2 linked regions of the Diceros bicornis minor genome follow. The protein of the gene in region 2 purifies or fractionates together with the protein of the main gene of each other region. This does not show direct contact. Links are inferred from orthologs where the notes say so. Each region holds a gene or a part of one and is shown on either strand. Other genes may lie near its edges. The genes, in order: PSTPIP2 and PTPN12.

Region 1 (7,843 bases), on a different chromosome or scaffold from region 2:
AGCTATCCCACTGAGAACAGGAACAAGACAAGGGTGCCCACTCTTGTCACTCCTCTTCAACATAGTACTAGAGGTTTTGGCCAGAGCAATTAGGCAATAAAAAAAAATAAAAAGTATTCATGTTGGAAAGGAATAAGTGAAACTCTTGCTGTTTTCAGATGACATGATCCTATATATAGAAAACCCTGAAGAATCCACCAGAAAAGTATTAGAAATAATTAACAACTACAGCAAAGTTGCAGAGTATGAAATCAACTTACAAAAATCAGTTGCATTTCTATACACTAATAATGAACTAGTAGAAAGAGAAGTCAAGGATACAACCCTATTTACAATTGCAACAAAAAGAATAAAATATCTAGGGATAAATTTAACCAAGGAGGTGAAAGACCTATACACTGAAAAGTGTAGCACATTATTGAAAGAAATCAAAGATGAAACGAAAAGATATTCCATGCACATGGATTGGACGAATAAACATAGTTAAAATCTTCATGGGGCCGGCCTGGTGGCGTGGCGGTTAAGTGTGCGTACTCTGCTGCTGTAGCCCGGGGTTCGCAGGTTTGGATCCCAGGTGCGCACCGACGCACCGCTTGTCAACCCACGCTGTGGCAGCATCCCATATACAGTAGAGGAAGATGGGCACAGATCTTAGCCCAGGGCCAATCTTCCTCAGCAAAAAGAGGAGGATTGGCATCGCTTGTTAGTTCAGGGCTAATCTTCCTCACACACACACAAAAATCTTCATATTACCTAAAACAATCTACAGATTTAGTGCAATCCCAATCACATTCTTCACAGAAACAGAGCAAAGAATCCTAAAATTTATGTGGAACAACAAAAGACCCCAAATAGCAAAAGCAATCCTGAGAAAAAAGAACAAAGCTGGAGGCATCACAATACCTGACTTCAAAATATACTACAAAGCTATAGTAATCAAAACATCATGATACTGGCACAAAAACATGCACACAGATCAATGGAATAGAATTGAAAGCCCAGAAATAAACCCACACATCTATGGACAGCTAATCTTTGACGAAGGAGCCAAGAACATACAACGGAGAAAGGAAAGTCTCTTCAATAAATAGTGTTTGGAAAACTGGACAGCCATGTGCAAGAGAATGAAAGTATACCATTATCTTACACCATACACAAAAATTAACTCCACATGGATTAAAGATTGGAATGTAAGACCTGAAACCATAAAATTCTTAGAAGAGAATACAGGCAGTACACTCTTTGACATCAGTCTTAGCATCATATTTTTGAATACCATGTCTACTCAGGCAAGGGAAACAAAAGAAAAAATAAACAAATAGAACTACATCATACTAAGAGCTTCTGCAAGGCAAAGCAAACGATGAACAAAACGAAAAGACAGACCACCAACTGGGAGAAAATATTTGCAAATCATGTATCTGACGAGAGATTGATTTCCAAAATATGTAAAGAACTCATATATCTCAAAAACAAAAAAACAAACAACCTGATCAAAAAATGGGCAGAGGATATGAACAGACATTTTTCCAGAGAAGATATACAGATGGCCAATAGGCACATGAAAAGATGTTCGACATCACTAACTATTACGGAAATGCAAATCAAAACCACAATGAGATATCCCCTTACACCTGTCAGAGTGGCCATAATTACCAAGACAAAAAATAACAAATGTTGGAGAGGATGTGGAGAAAAGGGAATCCTCATACATGGCTGGTGGGAACGTAAACTGGTTCAGCCACTATGGAAAACAGTATGGAGACCTCTCAAAAAATTAGAAACAGAAATACCATATGATCCAGCTATCCCACTACTGAGTATTTATCCAAAGAACTTGAAACCTGCAATTCAAAGAAACTTATGCACCCCTGTGTTCATTGCAGCATTACTCACAATAGCCAAGACGTGGAAGCAACCCAAGTGCCCGTCAACTGATCAATGGATAAAGAAGATGTGGTATATATGTATGTGTGTATACACACACACACACACACACAATGGAATACTACTCAGCCATAAAAAGACAAAATCATCTCATTTGCAACAACGTGGATGGACCTTGAGGGTATGATGTTAAGCAAAATAAGTCAGACAGAGAAAGACAAACACTGCATGATTTCACTCACATGTGGAAGATAAACAAGCACATGGATAAAGAGAACAGATTAGTAGTTACCAGAGGGGAAGGGAGTGGGAGAAGAGTGAAAGGAGTAAAGGGACACACATGTATGCTTTCGGATAACAACTAGACTATTGGTGAACACGATGTAGTCTACACAGAAACTGAAATATAGTGATGTACACCTGAAATTTACACAATGTTATAAGCCAATATGACCTCACTAAAAAAAAAAAAGGTCCATTTTAAATTTTGATGACATGGCCAAATGTCTGTTCACAGAGGTTTTCAATTTTTACATGCAAGAGTATCTGTCCATTTGGTCAGCACTGTGTGCTATCAAACTTTTGTTAGGAAAAATGTATTTAAGGCCTTTAGAAAATACTTATGAAGTATTGTTAAGTTAAAAAAGCAAGACCCAAAACTTTATGTACAGCAAATGCCAATGTATATTATTGGAAGAGATTATGCCAAAATATTAGCAGTGGTTATCTTAAATGTATTGATCATTAAATTTCATGTCATAATTACTTTAGTAGTGTTATTTAACTTCGTTAGCAAAATTTCCCAAATTTTTTATAGACCCTTGGATATAGTACACATTTTACTTGTTTTTTTTTTCACAACACCTGTGCTGGTGATAAGCTTAAGTGTTGGAGGAATGAATGAGTAGTATTTTCCAGCAGCAAGGACAACCATTTGCAATTTGCAATCTTGCCACCAGGTGGTGGAGGAGAGTTAAAATTCAGGGATCTTTGAGGCCTAAGCGGCGAAAATCAAGTAGAACTACCGTGAGAGCTTGTAAGGCTTTCTAAGACTTAAAAATATATGTATTAAAAATTAAAACATAGACAATTAGAATTGTATCTAAACTGTTTGTTCCAAAATCTTCAAAACTTCCAGGAAAAATCTTGGTCCTGTCTTTGGCACTTTCGTTTTTTTTTGTTTTTTTATAATTTTATTTTTTTTTCCCCCAAAGCCCCAGTAGATAGTTGTATGTCATAGCTGCACGTTCTTCTAGTTGGTGTATGTGGGACCTGGCCACCGCCGGGGGTTCCCAACCCGGGCCGCCAGCAGCGGAGCGCGCGCGCTTAGCCGCTAAGCCACGGTCGGGCCCTACACTTTAGCTTCTTCCATTTCCCTGGTTAGCGGCTATTTCTCACCCCTCCTGTGGCTTAGTTTGTTTACTGTGGCCTCTCCTGCACCCGGATGGTGCTGCCAGGCTTCTCTGCCTTCCTTCTAACCCCACTACTCTCCAAAGAGATGAACAACCAGATAAATGGATGCGTGCCCTTGGAATAACCCAGGGCTGGAGGACCCCTCTCCGTCTTTGTAGGTGTGGATGACTCTACAGGTGGGATTCATTACAGTGGGACTGGGGGTGGTTTTACCAGGCAGAACCTTTTAGCTGTCCTTCAAATCACCCCTTTCAAAAGCAATTGCCCTTTCACTGTGTCTAGAATGAGCTAGAACCTGATTAAGAGGCAAATGCTTGCCTCTCCAGGCCCTGGGTTGTGCGCTGGGCATCAGCACTCGGTCTTGGTCCCGGTGACCTTCATCCAGCACCTACTCTCTGCTTAGGGTGGATCTGCCCCAGGAGCGGTGTTCGTCTTTGGCCCTGGCTCCCTTTAGAAGGCTGGAGCTCTAAGCCAGCCCTTTATCCCTTAAATACTCTGTGATCTTAGACAAGTCATTCAGCCTCTCTGGGCCTCAGTTTTGGCTCAGAGAGTGTAGCAGGCAGCAGTACTTTGTCCCAGAGTACCTTATTACTACAAAGCAAGGAGGAGTCTGCCTCGCCCTGGGGTTATGTTTTTAGGGGTGGAAGTGGAGGGAGACGAAGGAAGCTCTGGGCTCCTATTGCTGAGGTGGGATTGCTGGGAAGGGTCTTGGGTCCTGAGAATGAGGAAGGGGTCAGGGAGAGGCTGAGCTCCTGGACGCCCTGAAAGGGCCTCACTAAGGGACCTAGAGTCAAGGGGAAACAATATCAATGACCTTTCCACGGCTTTTAGACTAAAAAGTGGCCGAAGGGCTGATCTGCAGCGGGTGCACCCGAGGTCGTGCACACGACTCGCTGAAGTGTCTTCACCTCACGCGACCGCTGGCATTGTCAGTCCCCAGGCTTTACGGAACTGACTCCTGGTCCACGCGACCACTTTTCCATCAGGCGAGGGCTCCGCTGAGCCTGAATTTCTCTGCGAGGAATTCGGTCTGGGGAACAGGGAGCTTGTGGGCAGTAACTGAGCCTACTTGGGGCAGGCCACAGGATCAGTTCCTTCCAAGCCTCAAAGTCTTCCTGAAAGAGGGGGAAATTTAGGGTTCCCTAGTTGAGCGTTGCCTGACGCCCGGGGCTTGAAATCTGCCTAGGTCCCCGCACGGGACACGAGGGCGGCGCGTCCAGGCTTGGGTTTCCCGCGGGGCGGGAGCGAGCAGCGCGGAATCGGGCGTGGTCTAGGACCCAGGGCGGGCCTCCGGCCGGCTGTGGGACTCCGAGGAGGCGGCTGCGGGACCGCGGGCCGTGACTGTCCGGCTGTGACCCGCCGCCCCGGCTCCGCTCCAGCTCCGCTCCGCACCCCCGACGCACGGCCATGACGGGCTCCCTGTTCAAGGGGAACTTCTGGGTAAGTCGGCGGGGCGGGCGGCCGGTCGCCGGCTCGGGACCCCGGGCGGGGGGCCAGCGCGGCGCCACTCCAGGACCGTGCGCGGAGCCGGCTGGGGACCGTGTCCCGAGCGCACGCCGGCCCGCCGGTCCCTCTCCGCCGGCCCCCCGCCGCCGCGCGTCCTCGCGTCCCCGGGCTCCGGTCCCCGGACCCCCAGCAGCGCGTCCTCCCGCGGGCGGCTGTAGCCCGAGCCTCGTCGAGTCGGGACATCCACCCTCATCGCGCAGGTGAGGAAACCGAGACCCAAAGGGAGCGGCGACCTGTCCGGGGAGAGTCGCCGGTGGCCCCGGAGGCTGCGCCGCGCGCGGATTTGGGGAGACTTGACAGCGGCAGTCACCCCGAGGGTCCGCGGGAACGCACAGTCCGTCCGAGCCCCGTTAGCGCCGGACTTCCCCCGCAGACCCTCGAGGGCTTCTCTTGCAGAAGCGTCCTCCCGTCGGGCAGCCGTGTTTCCTGAGCCCCCTCCCCGGGCCTTGGCCCAGCCCAGAGGGAGGCGATGCCTGTGTGAGACCCTCCCAGCTGGTGGGGCCATCACAGGAGGTAGCACCGGTCCAGCTAGTAGGCAGCAGGTCTGCTTGTCCCCCTTCCTCTGTCTAGTGCCCCCTTCCCCTCTCCTCTCACTCCCCAGGTGCCCCTCAAGGGTCTGTATCCCCTCCGGAGGAGGAACCACTCTCATCTCTTTAAGGCAGGAGCAAGAAGGAAACACACCTCAGAGCTGACCTACAGCTGCCAAGTGGCCCGACTTCTTACTTGGGACCCTGCTTGCCCTCCATTTAGCTTCACAGCTGCTTGGCAGGTCCCTATCCCCCCTCGTGGGTTGCTGGGTCGAGAAACCTGGCTGTGTGGCCTCAGGGACACAGTTTAGACCCTTTTTCTAGAGTTTTCAAGGTTCTTCTGGGGCACTGCCCACTTCTAGGGTGCAGGGCTGTGGAGCATCACGGAGAGGGTGAATGACCTCACAGTTGGCCCTGTGAGGAGGCCTGGGAATTCGTCAGGTAGATTATAGGACTTTTGGGTCCCAAGACAGACATTATGGGAAAAAGCAGGGCAGAGAGACCTGCCTTTCCCCACCTCAAAAAGTGTGACACCCGGTTTTCAGATCTCAGCCCAAGTATGACCCTTCAGGGAAGCCTTTCCTGATTGCACCCGATAGGCCCGTCACCTGCTCACATGGCACACATTCTGTTCCTTTATAGCATTTGTTCGTTTATAGTTTTGAATTCGGGGGCCTACAAACATGTGAGCATGTTGTGGACAGGTACTGTGCTGGCTCTCAGTGCCACCGCCCCTTGCACAGGCTGACCACAGTGGGTGCTCAGCAAATAGTTGTTGAATGACTAAAGTGGATCTGTAAGGCCCACAGGGCATGTGGCCAGGGGAGAGCAGCAGCCTCCATCCCCTGAGGGCTCCCAGGCCGCTGTAAAGCTGCTCCCAATGTGTACTTGCAGGAGTGGTTAGGGGAGGGGCAGAAATGAGGTCTGGGTTGGGACTTAGCCGTTGGGTGAAGGTCTGGGGGAAAGGACTTTCTCGGCTTATGCTTTGAGAAGGTGTCTGACATCCTGAGAAATAGTTTGCAAAGGTTATCTTCCATCTCTAATTTCCGGTGACGCTTTATGTCAAATAATAAAAACAATAATAGCTAACATTCCTGTGTACAGTCTGTGGCATACACCTTTCTAAATGCTTTACACACGCTACTCATTTAAGCTTCACAATTACCCTATGGGGTAGATTACTTACTATCCCATTTAAAATTTTTTTTTTCCCCGCAAAGCCCCAGTAGATAGTTGTATGTCATAGCTGCACATCCTTCTAGTTGCTGTATGTGGGACGCGGCCTCAGCGTGGCTGGAGAAGCGCTGTGTCTCTGGGTGCCCGGGATCCGAACCTGGGCCGCCAGCAGCGGAGCGCGCGCAGTTAACCGCTAAGCCACGGGGCCAGCCCTTACTATCTCATTTTACAGATGAGGAAACTGAGTGGCAGAAAGGTTAAGCAACATTTGCAAGGTCTTAGAGCTGTTAAATGGTCGAGCGGGACTCTGCATGGACTAAATGCTCAGTGGGTGCCTTCAACAAGTCTGGTGCTCAGCGAGAGTGTCCCAGCATAGCTGTCTGCATGGCCCCTTTGGCACTGCCAGAGGTAGACAGTCGGTCACCATTGGACCTTCACGTGAATGTTTCTTTCTCCTCCAGCTCCAACCATGAGCTCCTGGAGGGTAGGCACTGGGTGTCACCATCAGCTGAGCCTCCAGCACCTGCCATAGTGCCTTACATATGGATGCACAGGAATCAGGCAGACAGGACAGTCAGCCAGGACCTGGGAGAAACTGCTGGGGACCTCAGGGGCTGCCTGCAAGGCTTTCAAAACACTCTCAGGGGATGGGGGGGTGGGCAAGGCTGTTGTGAGCACTGAGGGGATGGAGATAACTTTCAGGTTTCAAGGATGAGAAAGTTGTGATTAGATAAGGTAGAAACCTTTGGAAACACAAGTGGGAATCAGTTGATTGAATTTAATAAATATTTATGACATACTTTCTCTGTGTAAGGAGCTCTAATGGAGGTGGCATTTGTAGGAGTAAGACCACCATCTTGGTTAGATTCCTCCTGAGCAAGCGAGGAAGGGAGGGCAGGCTTTGGCCTTGATGCCTGGCCTCAAGGATGTGGAGGAGGAAGGGGCAGGAGGTGGCAGAAGAGGGTAGAAGAGGTCCGTTCCAGGGTGGAGACCACAGGGAGGGGGAGAGGAGGAGGCAGGTGGGAGGAATGCAGAGGGTAGAAGAGGTCAAAGCCACAGGACAAGGTTACCAGTTGAAGGTGGGCAGTCAGAGAGAGGAAAGGAGGGCTGGGAGGAGGCTCTGTGTAAGGTGAACTGGAGAATGAGGTGTGGGGCCCCAAAATGAGGAAGTCGGGAGGAGGAACTGGTTTTTGGGGAAAGAAGGAGGAGGAGGAGGCAGAAGCGATATTAACAATATTTAACCACAGGGGTAGCACTGGCGAGGACCAAAGCCGCAGCATCCTGAAGCTCCCCCCAGCCTTTGGCCCCCAGTACCGTGCCAGGGTTGTTTGCTA
Region 2 (7,593 bases):
TTACACAAGATACCATTTTTCAACCAAATTACTGAAGATCAAGATAATTATTATATGAACACTCATATATTACTGACAGTTGTATAAACTGACACAACTTCTTCAAAAAGTTATTTATAAACATATATTAAATGTTTATATCCTTTTATATAGTACTTCCACTACTGGAAGATATCTTTTGCAATAATCCAAAATAAAGAAGTTTCATGCATAAATGTTTATTACAGAATTATGATATAAAATAGCAGAAAACAAATGTCCTAAACATTCAACCATAAGGAAATGGTTAAGCTATAAAATCGTCACCAGGTGAAATATTATATAGCCACTTGAAATTATTTTTACAAATGAAAAATGCTTATTAAAACAAGTTGGAAAAAACTCAAGAATATAAAATGGTATATGTAGTATGGTCACAGAGAAGCATTAAAACACTAACAGACAGTGTCTCTGGGTGATGAGACTACAGAAAGGCTGGACAGAATAATGGAAAGAGCAGTTTAGATGCCCACTCCATTTTCCTAAAGGTAAGGTATTATCAAATATTACTCTATAATTTATGAATTTGAAATAACGAACATTATTACTTTATAACTGAATAGGGTTATAATAGCTAGTTTATCTCTAAGGCTCGGTTCTAAAATGCTAAAATTTAAAAATGCATTTTTTAATCCACATCAGAATTTAAAGATAAGAACAGTTAGAATCTATCACCTGATTCTATTCTCTTTTCATGGCAGAGGGGACATGGTTTCCCCCCAGCCTTCCAGTAAAGGGAAAAAGCAGCACCAATTAGAAGTCTTAATTATAGCTATTGCTTATCAAGTCATGGAATAAAAAAAGCAAGCACTATAAAAGAATACCTTTAGTCATCAAATCTCAAATGTAGTCACCTAGCTCTCCCTAGGTATTATGGAAGAAAAAGGAAACTCATTTAGTCCTTGAGAAATGAAATCTCCAATAGGAATCCCTGACTCATCCCCAAAGCATGAATCCTAAGGCTACTTCCCCAGTACTGAAGTTCAAAGACTGGGCACCTGTCCTGATGGCCTGCATCACCAAACAATGCTCTTTCCTGACAGGATATGACCAGGGATAACAAGACGACTAGCATACAAAGGAGAAGTGGCCAGGGACCGCAGCACCTCTTCACCCATAACCAAAATAAGACTGTAAAGACTAGTTTTAAATATTCTAAGTAAATATTTTCTTCTATTTTTGCTAAAGAGCAGCAAAACGGGACTCCGACCAATTATTGTGACATCATTCAAAAGACACCAACATAATCAAAATTCTCAATAGTAAGATGGGAAAATGTCCTTTTCTTTAGCCCTCTCAGATCAAAAAGCAATTTTTCAAAAATACATAGGCTAAATATCGAGAGAACATGTTAAAAAGTAAGGCATAGATAACTTAACCCTTTCCAAAAGACACTAACAAAATCTTACTCCTATCCTCTATTATTGGTCTAGGGAGGCGGGAATCACAAAACTCAACAATACTATTATAATATTGTGTAAGGTCAAGGATTTACTTAACAAGCTGTTAACAATTTTAACGGTAATGCTTTACTAGACCGGTCTCTTCAAAATATGAAAAAGTATTTCAGTACTAATTTCACCTGAACATTATAAACAATTCAACCGTACTTCGAAATAAAAACTAGCCAATGTTTGCCGCTCATTCATTTTTACAGAAATTAACTGTGTATCCTTTTTACAATCAAGCATTTCGGAGTTAAGTGATTATTCTTGGAGGTGTATTTTGCCCAGGAGCAAAATTTTCCCTAGCTTATTTCCCATTCCCAAACCCCGCCAAGGCTAAGGAGCAACCACTTCCCAAAGTCCCACTTCCTTTTCCATTCCCCAGACCTCCAGGGTTTCCAACGCCCCAGTCTTGCGCAATATCCGTAGGAGCAGCAGCCGCAACCACCGCCTCCTAAGCCGGGAAACAACCCTAAAGGGAACATTGTCCAGCAGAAAAATAAAGGGTGGGGGGGCAATGTAGGAAGTCGACTTCTGGTCCCACGCCTTCGGATCTGACCCCCTCAGCGATGGATCTAAAGCAATTTCACGAACAGGACTTTTAACCTCCTCTCCAGCCCGCCTGCACAAGCGGAGGGCGGAAAGTGGGGGGGCGGGCAGGCTGCGAAGGTTATCTCCCAGTTCAGGGCTTCGGCCCGTACGGTCGCCTCCGCCCCACCAGGACTATTGTTCCCAAGTTCCCCACCCCCACCCCGGATAGGAAGTGATAGTCACATCCCCTCCGCCTTCGGCAATAACCCCGCGGGAGCCGAAGCAGGCTTCCTTCAGGATAACCCCCCTTCTCACACACTTAGCCCCTCAACCTAGAGTCACCCTGAGCGCAACACCATCTCAAACCTGAGTCTCAAGGGACACGAGACGGGACAGGGGTGAATGGAAATGAGGCAAACCACGAGATTCCTTGTGGACAATCCATTCCCAGGCGTCAGAGATAATGAGTGCAAACCTAGAATCGGCAGAGGTCCCATCCACCCACTTCTGAGACCAGCTGGAGCAGAGGCACCCCACGAGTTAATGCCCACCTCCACACCCGTGCCTCGGCCGGCCGCGCTCCGCTCCTCCCGGGCAGACACCCTGTCTCGAGCCCGCCGGGAGGGGCAGGCTGCACCGGGAGGTGAGCGGAGACCAGCCCCCGGCCTGCACGGCACTCGCCTCCGGCTCCTGGCCCGGGAAACAATAGGGGGTCGCGGGCGGCCGTGCGGGGTGCGGGCACGGCCCGGCGGCCGCTCTCTTCGCGCCCTAGGCGCCCGCTGAAGGGGCCGCGAACGCGCGTGGAGAGGAAAGGAGGCCCGGATCTATCACCTCCCGCCAGCCTCCGAGCCCACCCGGCGCGCGCCCCCTGCTCACTGCCACACACAAAGCGCCGGCGGCCCGGCCGGCCCGGCGAGGCGGCGGGGGGCTCCGGTGCCGGCGAGAGGAGGCGACGGCGAGGGGAGGGACTCACCATGAAGTCCCGGGCGAAGTTGTCCTCCCCATTGTGGTCCGGACTCTTCATGGCCTGGACCCTCTGGATGAATTTCCTCAGGATCTCCACTTGCTCCATCCTCCCGCGTCCCCCCGGCCGCGGCCGCTGCCCCCCCCGCCGCCGCCGCCCGCCCGCCCGGCGCAGAGCCCGCTCTGTCTGCCCCAGCTCGCTCCCCCGGCCCGTCCCCTCCCTCCTGACCCCCGCCAACCCCGCCGCTCCCTCCTCCTCCCCACCGCCCGAGGCGGCGGCCGCGGCGGCCCCGGCCCGGCTCCCGACACCACAACTTCCAGGAGCAGCCGCCGCGCTCCCACAGTAAGAGGCGAGCCGCTGCGGCTAGCGCCAACCCCAACCCCCCGCTTGCTCCATCCTCCTTCCCCGCCCTCCTCCTCCTCAGTCCGAGACGCCGCCACCGCCTCAGGAACTCGGCTCTCCGCTCGCCCTGCCCCCCTTCCCGGTTCCTCCTCCCCGCCCCCCTCCCCACTAGCAGCCGCAGCCGCCGCCGCCTCTCCCCATGGGCGCGCCCCCGCCGCCACCCAGACGCGCGGTCCCGCGCTGCGGCTCCGCCCCGGGCGCTACGCCGCGCCGGTCCGCCCCCGCCCGCCCGCCTCCGGGCCACTCCCCCAAGCCCGCCCCGCCGGCCTCAGCCCGGCGAGGAGTGGCTGGAAGGCGCTTTGGCTGCCGGCGGGGCGACTTGACCCAACTTCCGGGGCGGGGTCCCGCCCGGAAAGCTCTAGGTCTGAGGAGCGCTGGGAGAAGGGAGTTGGACAGGGAGTGGGGGAGACCCTAGTCGGTGGAGTAGGACTTGAGCTGAAATTTGAGGTCTAGCCGCCTATTAGTGGGAAAGGCGTATTTCTAGAGTGCTTCCGCGCCGCTGCCAGCCGCGGGATGGGACTACAGGTCCCGGCCGGCAGAAGTCCAGCAGCGGGGGCGGGAGGGGGCGGTGGTGGGAAGAGAGGAAGGCTGGGAACTGTAGTAGTGTCGTCTCCACGGTCACAGCAGGTATGTCTTCGTCTTACTGGTGGCTTGAGTGTTGACGGCAGTTAGACCTTGGCGCTTTGGGGAATGGCTACGGCCAAGAAAAATGAAACTCTCTTTGAGTGAAAGGACGTTTGCTTTTTGCAAATCCGTCTAAACCCAGCGAGTGAGCGCCAGAGATCCAGAGTGCGTCCTAATACATACCACGCCTATGGTGGGGGCTCAGTATTTGCTAAATAGAAGGGAATTTGTCTTCTTGCCTTTAGATTCGCAGGACTTTAGAACTGAATAATAGACTTTTATCCATAGGATGCACTTTATACATTGTTATACGTCTTGTACATCTTCTAGTAATCAGAACATCCATGCTGGTCTAATTCACCATTTTACAAAGAAAGTGATTTGCCCGAGGTCCACCAGCATATTTTTAGCAGAGCCCAAACTAGAACCCAAATTCTTTTGCTTTCAGTACACCACCATATCGCCTCTCACTAAGGAACATAAACTTATGATAATGTGATAGAAGTGAAAGATTTGATCCATGGACTTATTTTGGTCACTTACACCCAGAAACGACATTTTTTACAGATAGATTGGTCAGAGAATTTGCTAAAATAGGAAATATCAGTGTTAGGCCCCTTTTCCCAGATGAATATTTAGAAGCACCATGGAATATAATGATAAACTCATTGAAGAAAATAGGTATGAAAATAGGTATGAAGAAAACACTATTTCCTCTTTGTTTTAAAGAAAAATATTTTTCTTTAAAATAATACAACTAATATATACCAATCCACTCCTCTCCTCAGAAAGATGCACTTCCAGATGTGCCCTTCCAAATCTCTTCCTGTGTATTTGTATGCGTATATGTGCATGTAAAAAGATACAATTTTGCTCTGTATTTTAAAAATTTACTTAGAGGAATAGTTTAATTTCTAAGGTAAGCTCTATTTGAAACAAGGGTCTGGAATAGTCTACATTAATCCGATACTGAGACTCGGTTTCACTGGATGTGGGCTTAATCACCTACTAATATAGCTCTCTATAGGTACCCTCTTCCCCCAGAACTGGGAGAGAAACTAGACTGTAGGTGAAGAAATGGGCAGATTTGATAAGTCAAAAGAATGTACAAACCAGGCAGTGATTGATAAAGACTGTATGCTAGATAAGTTGTGTAACAGTGTAGTGACAGTCTGGTGGGAAGTGTTGCTTGTTTGAATTGTTGAATCCTATTTTGGCTAGTGTTTTTGCAGTCTTTCTCTCTCATATTGGCAGGCTTCTCTCTTGCAACACTTGAGTGTTCTTGGAATTCTTAGCTGCTACCTTTGGCATCTGATGTAGGTTAGAGGAAACAAATGTGAAGTATCTTTATGGATTTAACTCTCTTGGAAAGGTTTAGCAGTGCTTTCCTCTTTTTACTATATTTAGGTTTTGTTTCAATCTACAGATATTTTTTGAGCACTTTAAAATATGAGAGGTTGTGCTGTGTGTGTGTGTGTATGTGTGTGAGAGAGAGAGAGAGAGACAAAAATTTTAGGGATGGCTTCTTTTAGAGCTTATAGCTTAGTTCAGGAGACAGGAAAAACAGTGAACCCTTAGTTCCTTTAAGTTAATACATGCAAGATGAGTGATACAGACAATGAGTGGTTTAACAATTCTGAGAAGAGAGAATTGTGAACCAGGTTGTGAGCATGAGATGGTCAGAGAGGACCTTGAAGGATAAGTGAAATTAGGGTTGAACAGGAAGAATAACTCCCAGGCAAGAGGTGTGATGAAACAAAAAGCATGAAGATGGCAAAGCAGAAGTTTGAAGCAGAACTTTTGTACCTGTGTGAAGGCTCTAAAGTAGATTGGGACCCAACTCTGGAGAGCATTGAATGGACGGTTAAGGATTTGGACTTGATACTGTTGGCAGTGGAAGCCACCAAAGGTTTCTCAGGATAGGATTAAAATTATGAAAATATTAACCTGGCACGTTTTGGATAAATTGTGAATTAATAAAGGGAGAGAATGGAATGAGAGATATTCGGAGCCAATACATGAAGCAGCAAAAGGTAAAACTAATGTCATAGCACTGCAGTTACAAAGACACAGATGGAGGTGAGAGAGACTGAAAGAACTGACAAAACTAGGTGACTAACTGAAGAAGGCAAGAAAGAAGGTAGAATAAAAAATGGCTGGAATGACCAAATTGGAAGAGATCAGAAAGTTTGACAGAACACAAGGCTGTGCATGGTATGGGCAAATGGGGACTTTCATACACAGATGGTGCGAGAAATTGGCATAACATCTTTGGAGGCAATTTGGCCATAAATGTATCAAAATGGAAATGGCATGCATGCTTTGACTGAAAAATTTATAGATAATATTTACAGCTTTGTGCAAATATGTATGCTTATTGTAGCCTTATTTGTAATGGCAGGAGTGGAAACAGTGTACGTGCCTATCAAAAGAGCATTGGTTAAAAAACAAAACACTTATGTATAATGAAGTTCTGAGAAGCCATTTAAAAAATGAAAAAAATAATCTGTGTATGTTGATGTGGAATAGGCCCCATTTACTTATTAAATGAGAAAAGCTTGGCATACATGTGTTTATGATATTCTTCCTTTTATGTAAAATGGAATGTGGATAGAATGCTTGAACATACATAGAATTTTTCTGAAGGATACTTCAAAAACTATTAGCTGTGGTTGCTTCTAGGAGGGCCTTGAGAATCTTTGGTGGAAAGGAGACAACTTCCAATATGTATACCTTTTTATATTCTGAATATTTTACCATGTGTGTGCATTACTTTTCCAACAAAATTAAATCTATTTAATTAAAAAAATGTTTTAGACTTTCAATCCAGATGATAGGAGGAATGGCAGTATCTTGAGTAGAAACATGCAAATAAAGAAAAAAGGAAGCAGATCTTGTTTGGGAAGTTTTTAAAAACAGCACAGGCTAAATTTCAGAATGCCCACCTACTTACACCACAGTTCTTGAGAAACTTGACCACCCTGCCCATCCTCAGCCACAGCCAAAGGTTTGGGCACTTGACCCAAGTTAACCAATCCATGTAGGCTGGCCAGTGACCTATGGCCTGGTGTAGGAACATGATCTGGGCCAATCGGTTTTCACTGTTAGGAATCTGAATTTAGAAACCTAGAGAAAGTCGTTAAACAGCAAGGGCTGAGGCTGAGTGCCATGGGGTAGAATTAGGGATTTGGCAGGCAGAAGCCTTGTGAGACAGTAGAAAGTTTAAAGAATCTGGGTAGTCCAGAAAGGAGCATTAAGCAGGCGTGCAGAGATGTGTAGAGATGTCATGGTATAATAACCCGTGTGGTGGTGGGAGAGATGAGGAGAATCCCTGGAACAACTTGACTTCCTCATAACTTTTCAGGACAGGTTTGGTTGACATTTATTCCATAAATAAATTCTGCTTTTCCTGAAACAGAATAGGGCCATAATAAAGAGCATGGGCTCTGAAGTGAGAGAGATGAAGGGTCAAAAACCTGCTCTGTTTCTTACTCAGGGCAAGTCACAACCTCTCTCAGCTTCAGTTTGATCTTCTAGGAAAGTCGCCTGGTGCTGTCTTAGCAAGACGTGTTTCATAATTAGTGTACT

The links.
Region 1: the proteins of PTPN12 (region 2) and PSTPIP2 purify together in Homo sapiens (affinity purification with mass spectrometry; 4 studies listed by BioGRID and IntAct, counting the BioPlex papers as one, with this or other methods). This does not show direct contact. The link is inferred for Diceros bicornis minor from reciprocal best matches to the Homo sapiens genes PTPN12 and PSTPIP2.

What each region holds. Positions count from the first base shown.
Region 1 is NC_080755.1:39,090,623-39,098,465, reverse strand, and holds the start of PSTPIP2 (proline-serine-threonine phosphatase-interacting protein 2), read left to right. Parts: upstream 1-4,599; 5' UTR 4,600-4,707; coding exon 4,708-4,740; intron 4,741-7,843. UniProt on the Homo sapiens protein: Binds to F-actin. May be involved in regulation of the actin cytoskeleton.
Region 2 is NC_080742.1:15,353,661-15,361,253, reverse strand, and holds the start of PTPN12 (tyrosine-protein phosphatase non-receptor type 12), read right to left. Parts: upstream 3,108-7,593; 5' UTR 3,088-3,107; coding exon 2,989-3,087; intron 1-2,988. UniProt on the Homo sapiens protein: Dephosphorylates a range of proteins, and thereby regulates cellular signaling cascades. Dephosphorylates cellular tyrosine kinases, such as ERBB2 and PTK2B/PYK2, and thereby regulates signaling via ERBB2 and PTK2B/PYK2.